Drosophila melanogaster: one gene and its partners. The protein of the gene in region 1 purifies or fractionates together with the protein of each later gene. This does not show direct contact. Each region holds a gene or a part of one and is shown on either strand. Other genes may lie near its edges. The genes, in order: Sgf29, Mocs2B, Atac2 and Ada2b.

Region 1 (3,580 bases):
GTAATCCAGCATGGTTCTGAAGGTATTAAAGTGTTCCTGCTCCTCCGCGTCCTTGGCTCTCAGGGCGTATAAGATATCTATTTTACTGCGCACATCGCTGCTGACAAAACTGAAGACACTGCCCATGAGCTGGAAGAACCTAATGAACACCGAAAGCCCAATAGAGCACCACTAAAAAACATAAACATCATAATCACTCAGTTTACTTCATTATTTCCTCGTAGGCTGCCAAGTATGCGTCTAATTGTACGTCATCCTCGTCCAGAAGGCTGGTTTCGAACAAATTAGACACTTTGAGGATATCAAAACAGTTTCCATTTTCCGCCGTGCCATTGGTCTGCGTCGCTAAGCTCGTTTTACTCATCTTATAAGCCTGCCTTTCCCCTTTGTTTTCCTACAAACTTTAAAGTCTATTTATTTTTTTTAGGAAATCAATGTAACCGTTCTCCAAAAAATCCGGTATTAAAATACCACCCTGAAATTACTTTCTTCTTATTCCAGACAGAAACCAGTCTATTGTGAATTGAATACAATTTTAATTGGAGCTATTATTACAATTACATTTAATTCTTAAAGTTAAGATAATACATTTTTTATGCTGATGATAGATTCCCGCTGCCACTGCCAGCCCCCTTTTTCGTTGGACGATATGCAATCACATAGCGCTGTGCGACCGGCAAGGGTTCGGCATAGCCATTCGTGTACGATGAATCCTCGAATAGCACCTCGTAATCCTCGGTGGCGGTTTGCGGCAGGCGATGGACAATGGCCTTGTAGAAACAGGTGGTCTGTGGATATAGCGCCATTACCACTGTGTCCTTGGGGAAGAGGGCGTGACCATCGGTCTCAGGATTTGCACGCATTAGAGGCAGTGGGATGACCTTTCGCTTGCTCAGCACATGGCGATCCTTTTGCTCCTCGTCAATGTCAATTACGTCGTATTTGTTTTGACGGTGAAGGAACTGCACCACTTCCGCCAGGATCCAGTTCTCCTCCTCATCAATTCCCTTAGCTAATGCGGCAACATTGTCGCCAACCTATACAGTGGCGTCCGATTAGTCAGATCATCATCCCAGCTTCTTTGTCCAATCAAAATGAATGCTTACCTTGGCCACATAGTTCCCCTCGGCGGGAATGGCTCCACATAGAGCTGGTGCTCGTTCTCCTAGTTTGCCAACGAATAACGGCAACGTTTGCGCTGAGAGCTGCACCATTTTCATAAGGGCGCCCCGTCGAATGGCCTCCTTATTTCCAGCGTTGCGAGCTGTGGAATATGCGAGATTAAATCCTGTTTATACATCCCATCACTAACCCACCTTGGATGCGCCTCTCATTGCGAATGCTTCGAATCTCGTGGATTTTCGCCAGTGCGGCTCGGATTGTGGCCTCCTCCTGCGCAGCCTCCGTTAAACTGGCCTTGAGCAGGGGCTTAACCTTCTGATTGGTGGCGTGCAGAGATCGCACCAGACTAGCAATGGAGTTTTCCGCACGACGACGCTCCTCGTCCACATTGTGAATGTTTTGTTGAATGTCCTTCAGGCGATCCTGTAAATGCCATATAAATATAGTATATATCGACATTTATTGTTAACATCTTTACCTGAATCTGTTGGGCGGCACTCTCCGCAGTCAGTGGCATGTTGTTTCGATATTATAACAATATAATAAATTTGTTTTTTGAACACTTTGTTTACCTACGCAATGAAAACAAAAACAAGCATAAGCGTAAAGTCGACAACGCGTTAGTATTAACTATGCGATAGTTTTATATTTTACCTCAGTATTTTTTTAATCTTAGCAAATTTTATTTTACAGAGTAAAACAGAGTAATTATTGTTAAGATTTTTGTACCGTATAATCTCATTATTTGACTTTAGTGGATCTTTTTCTCAAACTCGAATATTTACTTTTCAAAGTTGTTTACGTTTCTTACATTGGAGATGGAAGCAAGTGCGCCTAACAGCACGCAGATAACAGCACGATATCTTCACGTGGTTGGCGTTATTTAGTCCCTTTTCTGCGCTCTATGACAGCCTCTCTGGCTTTCCCTTCTTTTCCATCGCGTTTCCGTAAGTGTGCTCCGCGTTTTTCCAATTGGCTATTTTTATTTATAATATCTTCAATTGCAGCTAGGAATTCCAGTGTGCGAAAAACGTAGGTGCCTAATACACGAGAAATGCAACGAAAATTTCAACAGTTGTTGGCTTTTTGTTCAACTGGCGTTGGCTAAAAGTGAACTCCAAGTGTTAACCCCAAGCTAAAATTATAATGGCGAACATTTTTTCTGTTTTCATGTGCCGCCCCATCAACGAATCTTTGGATACCCGGAGTAGTTTAAGATGGCCAAGTCCAAGAACCACACAAATCACAACCAGAACAAGAAGGCCCATCGTAATGGCATCAAGCGCCCGCTGCGCAAACGCCACGAGTCCACTCTGGGTGTAAGTATTCAAAAATATGCATATTTAGTTAGCATCTAGAGTTGATTTTAACAACCTTCCCGTCTTTAGATGGATGTGAAATTTCTGATCAACCAGCGCTACGCACGCAAGGGAAACCTTTCCCGCGAGGAGTCCGTGAAGCGCTACAACGAGCGCATCGCTTCCCAGAAGGGCAAGCCAAAGCCTGTTACTCTGTAGATGATTGCCCCGCGTGTGGATAATTAAAGGACAATTCAGTTTAACAAAGAACCGTCTTTATTTGTGTTGCCGTCGTTAGTAGTAGATGCTCAGCACCTTGTGGAAGGGAATGTGCTCCAGGTCGGCATTGTGCCGACGCCGGTAGTCCCACAGATATTGGTCGATCACAATGGAGTTGACGTTGTCCAGTGAGATTTCGGGGTGCTGCTCCTTGAGTATCTTCACCACAGCATCCCTAACTTGTTCGATGATGTATATAGATGCGCCGCGTATCTCCACCTCTCGGGGATCGCCGTTCTCCAGAATAGTATCCGTCTTTAGGAACTCCATTAGCTCACTGGTGTACTCCAAACTGCCGAAGTGCACTAGCACCTGGGGAATTCGGTAGTCAGCGAACATGGTTATCTGATCGATGTCATTAAAGAACCCAAGTCCCTGACCTCTGTAGCAGGACCACACATCGCCCACTAGGATTTGCGCTCGTTTTAGGATGGAAACTCGCTTTCCAGCAAACTCAGCCTCATCGCGAAAACAGGGAAACTCCTCCACAACGAGATCCAGCAAGCGAACTGCCGATTTCTCCGCCTTCTTGATAACATTCTCAAAACTGCCGTCGTACTTGTCGATCAGAACTTTTCCCACTTCATGGAGCGATTCCAGACGCTTTTGGAGCAGCGGAATCACTGTCTCGCCATCGTCAGAGCGGAAAATGTTCTCCACGGTTTTCAGATCAATCTGGGAATAGAACTTGGGATTGATCACATCCACGCCTTCCTTGATGGCTCTCTTAATCGCAGCACACAGCGCAAAGTAGCCGGTATAGCCATCGACCTTATATTTGGTGTAGTTATCTGCGGAAGATTACCATTGAAGATAGTGGATGCTGCTATAAATATCAATTACTCACTGGGGGTCCAAAAGCAAAAGTTCAGGGTGTCCAA
Region 2 (3,977 bases), on another chromosome or scaffold:
GATTGGACGTTATTAGCTCTGCTTTCTTTCTGTCCACATCTTGGACTTTTGTCAATTCCTCTAGACGCTTTGCGTGGTCATTCTTGACATTAGACAGCTTTTTTAGTGCCTCACGCTCTTGCTGTAGCGTTTTCATGTCAATCTTTTGCGACTCTTGCGTAGAGTAAAATTCATCAACGGCTTCCATAAAGGACTCAAATGTGGCCTTTTCAAAGTTTTTGAATTGAATAAAGAGGTAGGGATGAAATTCGATGTTTCTAAAGAAAAACTCCACCGTTCCATTCTCTGTAGGCTTTTCCTCTTTAACTTGAATAATGTAGCCTTTACTTTTTCCACTATTTCCCTCAGCTATAAGCTCTTGAGCATCCTAAAAGATTGCACAGAACGTTTTATTTACTTTAACAGCAATAATAAATATTTCCACGATATTGTTCTTACCTTTACTGCTTGCTGAAGAATTGGCAAGTCATTAACCATGTCAAATGGTTTCTGTTCCAGTTTCGTATTCTGTTGCTTCTTACGTTGCTTTTTACCGCCCTTCTCCGGCTTGTCCTCCGCCTCCGGCGTTTCTTCCGTTGTTTCCTTTTTGATAACGTGATTGTCCAAGCCGTGTGAGAGGAGAACATGCTCTATAACTGCCGGACCACAGTCCAAGTTGGGTGTTAGAATCTGTCGCAAATAGTCGCCGTTCCTGGCATTTTCCAACAGCTTAACCAAAGCTTCCAGTTCCAGTTCCTTCGTGGGCTGTTTGGCCCGTTCCACGGGATATTTCTCGCGCATGGCGAAGCGCAGGTTCTCGCCCTCCGTATGCGGACGCAAAATATATAACGTGGTCAGCTCGTAGTCGGTGAGGATCACATTACCACGATCGTAGAGCTCCAAAATAACATGGTAGGCGGCATCACCGGTACCGAACTGAAAGTCAACAATACGATCGCTACCCATCTGTTGAACCTTTTCCAGGCGCTTGTTCTTCAAGTGCTTCCTCAACTTCATGCTGAAACCGGACGGAGCCATGTTCTTGGGCCATTCGAACCTAGTGGTATGGAATCTTGTACCAGATTCTATTAGCAGAGTGACCTTCTCCACTGCACCGGTCCCTTGCATCCGGAAGAGGTAGGTCTTGTTATCCACGTCATAGATCTGATTCACTCGCCAGCCGACCAGCCTGGAATATAAATGTAGATGTACCATTATTCCTGGGCATCGGAATTATCCGGATTTTTTACATACTTTTGCAGTTCCGCCACTCCGCAGATTATATCGAAGGTATTGAAACGTGTCTTCATGGTTCTTTATGGAAAGTTGACGATGTCAACACGGAAAGTGAAGAAAAAAGAATCTATCTGGCAACTTAACTTATCATTAAATATTCACAAGTTCGCTATCTACGTTAGATAAGTTAAATTAGTTTAATAGGGAATAATAACAATTTTATTCACTTGCGAAATTAAGTATCGGTGTAAATTGCGATGGACGAACTTTAAACAAAATATATCGATTGTATGCTGTTGATGATTCGGATTGTCAGAATGAATTCGCTGTATAATTACTATGTATTAAATATTTGTATTGTTTATGCAATGAGTAAGAAGCTTCTTTGATTTATCTAAAAAGTTATTAAGCATTTAATAAAGTTTCAGTCAGCTGTTTCCCTTTCCGTGGACTATTCCACTTCGTTCCGATAAGAAATCGATACATAGGTAGTCGGAAAATGGAACTGCTGTGTCATCGCCAATCTTCATTTGTAAATATGAATGCGGATGGACCTGTTGTCAACGTGCACGTGTTGTTCTTTGCTAAATCCCGTGAATTAGCAAACACTCCCCGGTCGACAGTGGAAGTTCCTACTGAAATTACTGCCACCGAACTGCTGGACCACCTGGTGTCCAAATTTGGCCTGACCTCCATCCGGGATAACTTGATTTTGGCCCACAACGAGTCGTACATTGACAACCTGAGTGATAGAATTCTGTTTAAGGAAGGAGACGAACTCGCCATCATACCGCCACTGAGTGGAGGCTAACCTTTCCGCCATGGATCACGTGAAATTGGTAAACGACCCCATAGATATCGCTCATATCCATCAGTTGCTGGCCGATGAAGGCTGTGGAGCCTCATCCGTTTTCGTGGGCACTACGCGCGATAATTTTCAAGGGAAAAAGGTGGCTTCATTATCTCAATCAATTGATTTCATTGATTCATTTGTACTTTTCGACCTTTCAGGTGCTGTCATTGGCGTACGAGGCCTACGATAGCATGGCACTCAAGGAAATGAATAAAATATGCTCAGATCTCCGATCTAAGTGGCTCGATCTGAAGCACATAGTCATATATCATCGATTGGGAACAGTGCCCGTATGCGAAGCCAGTGTAGTTATAGCCGCCTCGTCACCACATCGTTCTGAGGCCTTAGAATCAGTATCTTTTGCAATAGACCAGCTAAAAACTCGGGTTCCCATCTGGAAAAAGGAAATCTACGACGGCGATAACGACAGCGAATGGAAGGAGAACAAGGAGTCCATCAGGCCTAGTAAGATCTTATGAGTAGCCAGCATGACATGTATTCTTATTATTTGTACACTTGTAAATATAATTAACAATCGAGCGTTTACGATTTTATTGGCTTCTCTCTCATCTGTGCATGTACATTGTAGAGAAATCGAAAAGTGGCTTCAACTACGCCGCTTGTCCCTGCAAAGTTGAGGAGTCACATGACGTCCCGCGAACTCTGGTGCAAATTAGAGTTAATGACGCTGAGTTAACCAAGCGTTTAGAATGTTTTGTCAACAGAAAACGAGACGAAATAAACTCACAAAATGTAATTGACTTCAAATCGTCTTTTGTCAGCTCAGACCAAAACTTGAGCGATTCCTGCGCTCGAACGCAGAGCACAATTATTAAGCAGGAGCAGTCAAATTGCCATTTAAAAGGTGGGTAAACGATGCTCTATTTTCATAACTATAGCCACTTTGGTCTACAAACAACCTATCACAGTCCGACGAGTAAACAACCGATGCGGACCTCAGCAAATGGAAATGCGACCCAACTACGAACTCGAACTGAATAAACTAATGGGATCGCGTGACGGTCAAACGGATCCAACCAAAGAAATGAGGAAATCGCTACCCAATTCACGACTACAGGCAATTGAATCGTACATGGGTCTAACCACCGACAACGAGGAAAACATTTTCAGTAGAATCAAACGAGTGGAAAATAGACTGCTGCAACTGGAGTCCATTTCGCCCGAGTACAGACACTTCGTAGGTTCTTAAAACATTTCCTGTAATTGCAGTTCTAAAAAAATTCAATCTATTCTCAGACCAAACGTGAACCGTCATCTATGGAAGCCGCGCCGCCGAAGAAGAGCCGAAAGAAATCGTATTCGGCGCAAGAATTAAGTGCATTCATTCAAAAGATTAAGGATGGCAGCGAATTAAGCTAATAAAAACCTAATTAATTATTATTCCTTGGTTTGTAATTGATGTAAATTTATTTCAACATTCCAACTATTTGTAATAGTTTTTTTTATGCGTAAATGATGAGAGTGAAAAATGCAAAAATTTTTGTTTACAACTAAGGAATATGGATAAGCGTGGCTGATTTGTTTCTGTTTATTAATCGGTCGTCAAGCTTCATAGATCGCGCCCGAAAATCTAATGGTTATTTGTTAACCGAAGGACCAGCTTACTAATTATTTAATACGCGAAATTATTAAATCTTATTGTTGTTCTCAACTCCTAGCACAGAGTGGGGAATTGAGCTTCATCGTCAACCTTCAGTGGCTTCTGGGCGGAGCGGCGTTTCTCTCCGAATCTGTTGTTGTCTTGTCTGTTTTCATAGCCGTTGCTGGGTCCGTTGTTAAAGCGGGGACCACGGAATCCCTCTCCACGCGGTCCGTCATTGCGGTAGCCTTCTCCACGCGGTCCCTCATTGCGTGGACCCTCTCCGCGAGGTCCGTCGTTGCGATAACC
Region 3 (5,184 bases), on another chromosome or scaffold:
ACAACTCGTGCACATTGCACGGTGGCAAGGGTCAGGAGCAGAGAGAGTATGCTTTGGCTGCTTTGAAGTCAGGCGCAAAGGACATCCTGGTGGCCACCGACGTCGCTGGTCGTGGTATCGACATCAAGGACGTGTCCTTGGTTATTAACTATGACATGGCCAAGACCATCGAGGATTACACACATCGTATCGGTCGTACGGGTCGTGCCGGCAAAACCGGTTGTGCCATTTCGTTTGTCACCAAGGACGATAGCGCTTTGTTCTACGATCTAAAGCAATGTGTGTCTGCAAGTCCTGTCTCGACCTGTCCGCCGGAGCTAATGAATCACCCGGAAGCGCAGCACAAGCCTGGCACGGTGGTTACCAAAAAGCGCAGGGAGGAAAAAATATTCGCCTAAATTTGGCAAATTCTAAGCAGAACTACTTTAGGTTAAAATTTAAAACTAATAAAGTTGGGTGCGCCAAAGCCATACCTTGGCAACCAAAAATTCTCTTTCGAAATAGTCTTTTGAAACTTTAGATTCATAAACCATTTATTTGAAAAAAGTCTCATCTTTGTAATCTCAAAAAGAAGGCATTTCTGCTCTGTTTCGAGTCCAGAGGCAGATACTTGTCATAAAAGTCCAAGATGATTTCCTCCATCTTAAATCCGAATTTCTGGTACAACATGACGGCCGCGTTGGTGGCGGAAACGTGCAACGTTATGTCCTTGGACATACATGTCTGGATAAGGTGATATAACATGAAGCTGGCGATGCCACTGCGTTGCCAGCACGGCCGCACCGCCATGAATGAGATGTAGGCCTCGTTGTAACCTACGTCGGGCACTAGGAATCCGCAACCGATGACCAGTTTCTTGTACAACGCCACTACACTGTAGTCCGGGTAGCTCAAACACTCGCTTACTAAAAGGGAAAAAATCATACAAATTTGTACATTAAAAAAGCTAAAAAGAAAATCATGAAACCCACCATCAATGTTTGGCCAAAAAGTACTTTGGAGTAATGCGTTTACGGCCGGAATATGCTGCGGTCTCACAAAACAGAAGTCGATGGTAGATCTTGTGGGATGAGATCCGTTTACTCTATGCTGCAGCTCGCACATAAGCTTCAGCCATGGAGGAGCCATCGTTTCGCTCCGAAAGATAAATGGATGAAGAACTCTTTGAGAGTAGGGCGATTCAAAGAGCTCGTATTGAGTGCATCCCGCCAGGCGGGCGTGAAAGGAGCTCCTTGCATCTTGTCGTGAATGGGCTAACAACTGATATCTGTCAAGAATTTCGGCCTTCTGATGACCCAGCATCTTTAGGCGTGCTCTTCCCAGGGGATCTATGTGCTCGTCCAAGTTAAATATGTGTCGATTGTGGTCCCTTTTCCATTTTCGAAGAGAAAGTTTTCGATATAGGCGCCGCACATAGGCAGGTATGGATATGTGGCACTGATGCTCCAGTGCGAATATTCTATCGAGTCGCTGGTACAACTTCTGTTCTTCGTATGCATTTATTAGTTTGAGATTTTCGCTAGGAATGGCCATGTCATCGGGATCCTGCGCCTCCTGCAACCAGGGCCAATTTCGCCGTGGTTGTCTGACAAATCCACTCGGTTTGCAAGGCTCTAGGATAGAGGATTTGCTATTTGTCGTGACGTCATCATCTTGCATTATCTCTTCTAGTGGTTCCTCTTTGATGCTTTCGTTTGCCTCTTGCGCCTGGTAATTTGTAACCTGTACGATGCGTGGCTGATAGTCGGGTGATTCGTCCTCTTCTGGCTTTTCATCTTCTACCTCGCCTTCTTTTTGTTCCTCGCTGCTTTCGGCTGCAGGTTCTTCTGTTGATATGGGTTTGGTCTCATCAGCGGTATTTGGTATGGCAAAATTTGTATCCATGTCGAAAAGACCTTCATTATTCAAAGGTGCGTGAAGCAACGGCTCGGTCATGAAGAAATCATTTTTACCCGCTCCAATCAGGGGTGGGGGCATTATGCCTGGTAGGTTACCAAACATGGTAAAATCATCGCTTTCCAAACTTTCAGCCAGAAAATCCATCAGGCCTGCTTGGACCATGCTCATAGGCTGATTCTGTGGTTCTTCCTCCTTCTGACTTGGTGGCGCTATATTTTCTTGAAGAATTGGTGGCCCTGGAAGCGTTTCCTGTGACAAGGGTGAAGGTTGTGTTTGTATCTTTGGCAAACGGCCCATGTAGGGACTGGAATAAAAGTGAAAGATTTTAATGAAAGGAACGCATAGTTGTATTCAAAATTAATTATCTTACATTGTTCGCGCACAGCCCTCTGTTGAACTGGGTTTCTCAGCTTCTGCTTTAATAAGCGGTGGGTTATCCTGGGCATGATCCGCCACTGAGATCTCGCTGCTACAGCTGGTCTCGTCCGCTGCAGGCAACCGCTTTTCAATACGCATTTGTAGCCGCAACTGTTGCTTTTTCTCATCTGAAATGTGACGACTTGTGAAATCTATCATATCATTAACTTAAGTGGCACTTACATTCTTTGAGAACGCTTCTTGGGGTTTGAAAGGGCTTGGCCAGTTTCCACCAGCCGTTCTCCTGAAAGACATCCAGACCAGACTGAAAGTACTCCGGACTGTTGTGGGACAGTGCGCCGGATACGGAACCAGTCCATTGCTTGCGACGCCGCCTGAACAAGGGGAATAAATTGAATGTGTTCTCCGGAAATTATTCATTTACGAATACTTACACATTGGGACCGAATATATAGTTCCAGTTCTTGTCCACAAAACTGATGATGTGCGTGCGCCAATGGAAGAATCCATGGTGTCCCAAGCCCTTTTGTTTGATGGACAGATTGTAGAGCGTTAGGGTGAGCACCAGCAGCCAAGGTATCCTTTGGCGCACGATCACTTCCTTAATGGGTTCTAGATCTGAGGGTATGACCGATTCCTTAGCTTTATCCAGCACACACTTGACGCACGTGAACTCGAAGAAAACGTCGCCTAAAAGATCTCCGGGCGTGCAAGCATGCGGCAGGCATTTGATGTGAACCATCCGCCTGCATTCCTGGCACTCCAGGTAGTTGTCGTCCTCCACCGGCGATTCACAGTAGCGGCATGGTCCCTGGGGATCATCCCAGTTACTGGGCCGATTCATTTACTCAGTAAAACAGCACAAATTGCAAGTTAAAAACAATCAACAAAATAATGTGTTGTTTGTGTGTTACCGTTTCGCACTTTTTGGTTTATACCATATATATGAGAAGCTTACATTTTGAAAATACCAAAAAATCGCACTGTGCTCGGTTCAAATTTGTCAATAATTTGAATTGGGAAAACAAAAAATAAAATTAATTTGTATTCTTAATTGATCTTTTCTGAAGCACTACAAAACATATTATTATTAAGCACTTATTTATTTATTAACATTGCCGTTTTAAAATGCCGAAGATGTCAGCATTAACATAATTTAAAATAATTTTTTATTGTTAAAATGTCATAAATAAGCATTTTTAATTAATATGGAACAGAGACAAGGCTATGGTCTTCGCATATTATATACCCTCTTCTCAGGTGTATTCAACATTTTCTTGTCACATTTTTAGAAATTGCAAGCAAATATCAAAACACTTTTTAAAAGTTTTGAGCTCTTGGTGGGCGTTAGAGTGGGCGTGGCATTCTTCTGAAACAAACTGTGATGCGTCTACATGTCTAGAATCTGATTGCTCCATCTTAGCTTCCTAACTTTTAAGTTCCCGAGATCACAGCGCTTATACGGACGAACAGAAGGACACGTTTTAATCGACTCGTCCACTGATCCTGATTACATATATATGCTTAATACTGTCGGGAATGACTTTTTCTTTTGTTATTTCTTATGCCAGTTACCTACTTTTCAACGAATCTAGCATATCCTTATGCCCTTATATACACTATATAAAAGATCCCGATTGTTTTTTATGTTCTCCCTATCTAGAAGATAAGAATCCGCTTGATTAGTACAGTCCCGTTTCGCTTGATCAAGCATGCGTTTGTCACGCCCTACGCCCACCAAGCACATTAGTACCAACGCCCACCACCCACCACCCAACGCCCAGCGTCCTTTGGCCATGCAACGAAAATGACATTAATGGGCTCTTTACGGCTTACGCATAATTAAGGCTGTTTCCGGCAGACCATCGACCATCGGACCTGGCCCCATTGCTTTTGGCCCGGTCAGTGTGTTGTCTTAAGCGGGCCTAATTAGGCATCGCCGGCTGCTGCGTTCTGGCGAAGCTGTTGCTTCTGCTTCTGCTTCTGCTGTTGTTGTGTGTTTGATGAAGTGCATGATTGGTTTATGGACTGAAGTGGGATGGTCGAAACTGCAGGCCGGCTAAGTGGGGTATTCAGTTGAGAACCAAAGCTGAACGGATCCACAATTGTTTCTTTTGTAAATCACTTTCTATTTGCCGAATGATTATTACTGCAAAGCATGCAGTTTGTGCATCTTACAGGATATGCACCTATTTACGATTTCACTTCAACACTCATCGTTTTCAATTCAATTTGAATATTGCACTTCAAGTTCTTCCCTGCCTTTAATATCTGTAGTTGAATTCCTTTCAACTTGCTTGTCTGGCGCCTCGAGGAGATTTTCATTTAATTCGCGACTGCCCGCTGGCAAGTCGAAAAGAGCGAAAAATATGGTGAAACAAATTAATTTGTTGGTGCTACTACAGCCAAAAGTATATCCCCGAATTATGTTTTAAAGTATATCTATATCTTAGTTTTGCGAAAGTTAAAATGAGTTTCACTCATAAATCACTTAAAGCTCGAGGGTAAATATTTTCTGGAAAGAGCTTGACAAATTGGATAGTCGTTTACTAGCTGATTATGACATTTACAGATGCGATGCTGGTTAGAATTTGTTTGGCCACCCATTTTGTTCATAACAACCGTATTTGCTCTCAATCACCAGACTTATTGCACCTTAGCTCCACGGCCATGGCTTGACCGTTTTCCGAACGATTTAAGGCCAGGTCCTGGCACAAAGGGAAAAGTAAGGGAAGGATATGGGGGCATCCCCCCATCGTGAGGGGCAAACAAACGCCGTCTGGCTGTCACTTAATCGAAGCCATTAGCGTTATTAGTGGGGCTGCTACCAGCCGATGCACTGAGAAAATATATACGATGCTCGATGAATATTTGATTAAATAGCATTATAAGTTATATAATTTAACA
Region 4 (5,701 bases), on another chromosome or scaffold:
AACGATCTTCGCCAGTAGCAGTAGCTGCAGATCCAACGTCACCAACAACAGCAGCCATCCCGAAATCGAGCACAGTGTGTGCAATCATATGCATATTGTTGGGCTGAGCGCCGCCAAAAGCCATGTCAGCACCTATTCCAGCTTCACCACACCAGTGATCCCCGCCAAGCTTAGCCAATGTTTAGACGCTTCCCAAGACGATGACGATGAGCAGCGAGAGTTTAGAGACAAAGACGAGACACCGAGCACAGCGAATCGGTTCCCATATCCGAGTGAGTATGGTGCAGAGTTTGTGGCATCTGCCGGCATGTTGGTCATACTGTTGCTAGTTGGCCATTGCCACAGGACCTTGAGCCCTCATCGCGCCAATGCCCATGACAAAGACACAAAGACTTTACATACCAAATTAGTTGATAGTTATGCTTTAGGACTACTCGCTTATGCAAATTTTGAGAGCCCATCCATCGCGGCCGCCTGCTTATGAGTCTCGATGCTGGGAGCAGGCGGTTCAGACGGATCTGGACATGGATCTGTTTCCGTTGCCAGTCGTCAATTATGACGACTGGGGTCGCGCCTGCGCTGTGACTTTTCCTTAGTTCCTTACGCAAGCGAATTCAAATCGAACCGTATCTGTGAAAATCGTGAATCTCAAACTCTTGAATGTCCTCGAACAGTATTGTTAAACATACTTCAGTCCCTAGGATCAGACGCAGGTGCGACACCAAAACCGAATTTGGCGCTCAAATAGACTTATTTAGACGTTTTTAGGTACTCGAATTGATAAATTTTGTTGGCCGTGTGCGTGTTTTTGAAAAGCGCAGCTGCACAAGTAACTTGCCATATCTGTTTAAGATCTGTTAACCCATTTTGTATCGTGTAACTCGTTTTGTTTTTCTCTGGTCCAAGCTAACTAGCAAGAGTAAACTAGCAACAATGCCACCAAAGCCACATGCAACACAAACTAGTCCTCACCGCCCACTGAGATATCTGGAACCCATAACAATTCGGCTACTGCTCGGTGTAAGACAGCAATACTAACAATAATATAAACGTATTCACCATATGAACTAATCGAATAATCAACTATTTATACAGCGTAGCCTACCCCAAATCCTTCCCAATGATTGTAATGATTGTAACCTACAATATCTCGGCAGTCCCACGCCCTATTCATGTTAGATGTAAGCAACCGAAATATTTTTCGGCAGTTATTACTTTTACACTTTTTGTTTGAAACAAAAGATATTTACCCATTTTATATTTTTTTTGTAACTCAGAATTTAGCTTAAGTTTTTAATCCTGACCACCGCTTAAATTTACGTATCGAACTGCATTTAAGCACATGAGTTTTTTATATTTTTATTCAGCACCACGCTACAAATGTTTCAACCATCACATATTCGTATTTATGTTTACCTTGTTTTGGTTTGATATGCACTTCTTTTATTTTAGTTTTATTTTATATATATTAATATTATTTTTTGTGATAATTTAAAAAAGGCAAAACACTCGAATTAAACTTTTAAAATAATTAAATAAACTACTATCAATATTTAACGCATAAACATTAGAGTTTTGAACATGTGCCTAATGTTTGAAATTTGTATTCTATATTTAATGTGTTGGTACTTTTGGTAAGTAGTATAATTTAGAAATTAACTATAATTCAGAGATTCAACAGAATTATGAAAATTAGCTAAAAAGGCTTTAAGACTAGCTATATAGGCGGCACTGTTCCGATGAACTGGTTCGGTTCGTTGGCCGTACATATAAGAATTCTCAGTAGAGCAATATGGCGTTGACTTCGCGTCTGGTCACATTACTGGCATAGGTTTTTTTCGCACAACTCATAATTGTCGTGAAAATCCAGGTTTTGGCCCAAAATGACCACAATCGCGGATTTATTCACAAAGTATAATTGCACAAATTGCCAGGATGATATTCAGGGCATTCGAGTGCACTGCGCGGAGTGCGAAAACTTCGATTTGTGTCTGCAAGTAAGTAACTCACACATACACGCCGTCGAGCGACGCACGTATACATGTTGCAGTAGGGTGGTTCGCTCTTTTTGAGGTTCTAGATACTTGTATATAGATTTGTAAATAATAAAAATCAGTTATTTTAACAAAATATTCTTGAATCACCCTCTTTGGATGGTCAAACTAATGGCCATATGGCCTCAATCCTCTAAATTAACGTCACCCAGATCTTGACAAGAAAAATATTTGCTTTAACTTTTTGTTAATTTAAAGGAAATTTGTTTATTGATTTTGGTAAATAGGTAGACTATCGTAGTTAATTTAATTAAAAATTACTTCCTTACGAATTAGCAGTGTCATTTTTATTTAGTTAAATGCCATAAATTAAAAAGAAAAAAATGTCAAAATAAGTGTCTGAATCTTGTATTAAAAAAAGGCCTGACAAAGCGTAAATTTAGGGAATATGAAATATGTTTCTGTTTTAATTTCCTAATCAAATTATTTTTATCGAGGAACTATTTACACGTTTTCTTTGTCAACATAATCGACCCACCCTGTTACACCCACACTCGTACAATCTAGAGATGCGTCGCCAATTTGGAACCAAAAACTGACTCATCTAGACATTCAAATAATACATACACACAACCGGCAATTTCACCATATTGATTAAAAAACAGCTGACTCTGTATTTATATTGTATTGTTTATTTTTTGCGCAGTGCTTTGCCGCAGGTGCGGAGATCGGCGCCCATCAAAACAACCACTCCTACCAGTTCATGGACACCGGCACTTCCATATTGAGTGTATTTCGTGGAAAGGGGGCGTGGACGGCACGAGAGGAAATCCGCCTGTTGGATGCAATCGAGCAGTACGGCTTTGGAAACTGGGAGGACATTAGCAAGCACATTGAGACGAAGTCAGCGGAGGATGCCAAAGAGGAGTACGTGAATAAGTTTGTAAATGGCACGATTGGAAGGGCCACTTGGACGCCGGCCCAGAGCCAGAGACCCCGCCTTATCGATCACACTGGAGACGACGACGCTGGTCCTCTGGGCACCAATGCTCTCTCTACCTTGCCTCCACTGGAAATCAACTCCGATGAGGCCATGCAGCTGGGCTACATGCCCAACAGGGACAGCTTTGAGCGGGAGTACGATCCCACGGCAGAGCAACTGATCTCGAACATCTCATTAAGCTCCGAGGATACGGAGGTGGATGTGATGCTTAAGCTGGCCCACGTTGACATATACACCCGCCGACTCAGAGAGCGTGCTCGCAGGAAACGGATGGTCAGGGACTATCAATTAGTATCAAATTTCTTCCGAAACAGAAATTACGCTCAGCAACAAGGACTCACCAAGGAGCAGCGCGAGTTTCGGGACAGATTTCGGGTCTACGCCCAGTTCTACACGTGTAACGAGTATGAGCGGCTATTGGGATCACTGGAGCGCGAAAAGGAACTGCGCATTCGACAGTCAGAGCTGTACCGATACCGGTATAATGGCCTGACCAAAATCGCGGAATGCACACATTTCGAGCAGCACGCCGCAACAGCGACGCACCGCTCTACAGGACCATATGGCCATGGCAAGACCGTAAGTTTAAGGCTCCGCAACAGGGGTGCCGAAATCGAACTAACCATTAAATATTTTATTTGGTCTTGAAAATCCGAACTTTTTGGAACTTTGTTATTTTTTTTTTTATTATTAAAATCCAAACATTACCTTTTCTTTCGATTGTTTCACAAAAATTAAAAGAGGTGTTAGGTGACCGGAACCGGTAGCTTTATAATTTTATCAACAATGAGTAGATTAACTTAAATTGAAAGAAAACAAATGATTTAAGTTGAATGTATAGATAAAAGTTTGGATAAATCGATTTGGAATACTTAATACAGAATATTAAATGGTCAAATTGGCTAGTTTCGATTTCATTCCCCTTGGAGTAAGCTTTTCCCACTGAGAATGCATGACGAGTTGAATATCGTGTGTTCTGCCTTGCTTTAACCGTCGTCCTTACCTGAACTGACCCAACTCTTACAATCGCTTTTCCGTCTTGTCTCACGATATTCAGCTCCACTGCATAATAAACGCGCCAAACAACGAGCGTTCGAATGGTTCTATAAGACAATGTTTAACCACAGGACCACACGCATACCTCCAATGGAAGTCATCGGCCGCCAAGCTCTTCCTTGCACTCCCCACAACCGAATCTCAGAAAGGTGTAAGTATTTTGGCAAAAAATTGCAATTACCTTAGAACTTGAATAATTCGGTTTTTCGTTTATTTAGCGAAATGTCAAGCGGCGGCGAGGCAAGTTCAAATTCAATCGCACCAAGAAACACGCTCCACATCGCCGACCCGACCTGCTCCGGCGCATTATTGCCCAGCAAAAACTACTTGGATAGCTGTCGGGGATCGTCGGCAGCTACGATGCTGCAGACGACGGGAATGGTAATGGGGGTAACAGTGGACTCGGGAGCGACGACGGGAGTGACTTCCACGGCTACGACGATGGCGAATCTGCCAACGAACTCGGCGAAGGGAAGCCAACAACATCTGCAGCCGCTGCAGCAGCATCCTCAGCTCCTGCAAAGCGGCAACCAGCACAAAATGCAAAACGAGGCCGCCGGCGGAGGCAGTGATCAGGTGCCCAGCATGAGCCTGAAATTGCGCACCCAGCTGGAGGAACTAAAACATCTGCCACAGCCGCCGGGCAGTGAACTGCTCAGTCACAACGAGCTGGATCTGTGCAAGAAGCATAATATTACGCCCACCACCTACCTCTCGGTTAAGACTGTCTGCTTGAGCGGAGCACCATCGTTGGGTAGTCCTATGGAGACTTCGCTGCGCAAGTTCTTTATCAAGTGCGGCTGGCTGAGCCACTGAACATCTTCCAACTTCCCGCTCCCCTTCGATTAAGAGCCACATGCATTTCCAAGGACTTCACTTTATTTTTGTATTAGTTAGAATAGGTTAAAGACATTTTTATACTGTTCAACTGTCGTTGGCATTTTCATCAAGGTAAAAACTACAAAACTGAAAATCAATTTACTTGTATCAAGTCAAGCTCAATTACAATAAGTGTTGTTCCTTTGTGTGAGATGTCGGGATTCAGATATTGTGTATTAACTAAGCTTAAGTAGGGGACCCAACCAATTGAATATGTATGATATGAATTGTAAATGAAGTAATAAATGTAATAGTGAATGTACAACAAGGACGCGACTTGTTTCTCGGATCTCACAGCTGGGAGACCGCTTTGGACTGAATGCCGCTAGGATATGTAAGAAGTAAGGTATTGAGTAAGCCTCTGATAGCGATAATACCGCGTTGAGTATTTATATTCGTATATTATTTCTTATGGTAGCTAGTTTTCTAGGCAAGATTCTGAACAATGCATTTGAACGTAATTCATTAAAGCCCATGAGAGCATGATAATCAATGTACTAGGCTGAGGAATGGAAAACAATGCTGGAAAAAATATATAAATATCTAATATGTTAACACATATGGAATGTTTTATAAATTAGCGAAGATTAAAACTTGTTAAATGAAAATGCGGTTATCTAATGACATTCTTCGGTATTATAAACTTAACAAAATCACTCATTCAGTTCAAGAAACCCACTAGTTATTTATCCTAGCTTATGTTCGTCCAATGCGGCACCCTAAAGCATGCACTCTGTAACCGTATACCTACAAAAATATATCATATATT

Evidence for each region.
Region 2: the proteins of Sgf29 (region 1) and Mocs2B purify together in Drosophila melanogaster (affinity purification with mass spectrometry; 5 studies listed by BioGRID, with this or other methods). This does not show direct contact.
Region 3: the proteins of Sgf29 (region 1) and Atac2 purify together in Drosophila melanogaster (affinity purification with mass spectrometry; 5 studies listed by BioGRID). This does not show direct contact.
Region 4: the proteins of Sgf29 (region 1) and Ada2b purify together in Drosophila melanogaster (affinity purification with mass spectrometry; 4 studies listed by BioGRID, with this or other methods). This does not show direct contact.

The regions. Positions count from the first base shown.
Region 1 is NT_033778.4:21,291,721-21,295,300, forward strand, and holds Sgf29 (SAGA-associated factor 29kDa), read right to left. Parts: upstream 1,927-3,580; 5' UTR 1,777-1,926; intron 1,722-1,776; exon of another isoform or gene 1,695-1,721; 5' UTR 1,640-1,694; coding exon 1,601-1,639; intron 1,546-1,600; coding exon 1,317-1,545; intron 1,265-1,316; coding exon 1,107-1,264; intron 1,038-1,106; coding exon 594-1,037; 3' UTR 519-593; downstream 1-518. Other genes in the region: CG30392 (uncharacterized protein), read right to left, coding at 1-139, 207-364; RpL29 (ribosomal protein L29), read left to right, coding at 2,340-2,441, 2,511-2,639; CG9752 (uncharacterized protein), read right to left, coding at 2,715-3,490, 3,547-3,580. UniProt on the Drosophila melanogaster protein: Component of both the SAGA and CHAT histone acetyltransferase complexes, which both predominantly acetylate histone H3.
Region 2 is NT_033777.3:25,125,123-25,129,099, reverse strand, and holds Mocs2B (molybdenum cofactor synthesis 2B), read left to right. Parts: upstream 1-1,740; 5' UTR 1,741-1,753; coding exon of another isoform or gene 1,754-2,026; 5' UTR 2,027-2,036; coding exon 2,037-2,165; intron 2,166-2,226; coding exon 2,227-2,533; intron 2,534-2,657; coding exon 2,658-2,933; intron 2,934-2,997; coding exon 2,998-3,266; intron 3,267-3,325; coding exon 3,326-3,448; 3' UTR 3,449-3,468; downstream 3,469-3,977. Other genes in the region: Clbn (caliban), read right to left, coding at 1-367, 439-1,168, 1,234-1,289; Mocs2A (molybdenum cofactor synthesis 2A), read left to right, coding at 1,754-2,026; vig2, read right to left, coding at 3,744-3,977. UniProt on the Drosophila melanogaster protein: Catalytic subunit of the molybdopterin synthase complex, a complex that catalyzes the conversion of precursor Z into molybdopterin.
Region 3 is NT_033779.5:18,609,058-18,614,241, forward strand, and holds Atac2 (Ada2a-containing complex component 2), read right to left. Parts: upstream 3,193-5,184; 5' UTR 3,122-3,192; coding exon 2,712-3,121; intron 2,652-2,711; coding exon 2,500-2,651; intron 2,445-2,499; coding exon 2,270-2,444; intron 2,204-2,269; coding exon 972-2,203; intron 906-971; coding exon 550-905; 3' UTR 519-549; downstream 1-518. Other genes in the region: CG10333 (uncharacterized protein), read left to right, coding at 1-398.
Region 4 is NT_033777.3:8,236,606-8,242,306, reverse strand, and holds Ada2b (transcriptional adaptor 2b), read left to right. Parts: upstream 1-1,791; 5' UTR 1,792-1,883; coding exon 1,884-1,997; intron 1,998-2,700; coding exon 2,701-3,576; intron 3,577-4,054; coding exon of another isoform or gene 4,055-4,124; coding exon 4,125-4,204; intron 4,205-4,271; coding exon 4,272-4,869; 3' UTR 4,870-5,193; downstream 5,194-5,701. UniProt on the Drosophila melanogaster protein: Component of several Gcn5-containing histone acetyltransferase complexes that regulate nucleosome organization; involved in acetylation of histone H3, particularly on Lys-10 (H3K9ac) and Lys-15 (H3K14ac).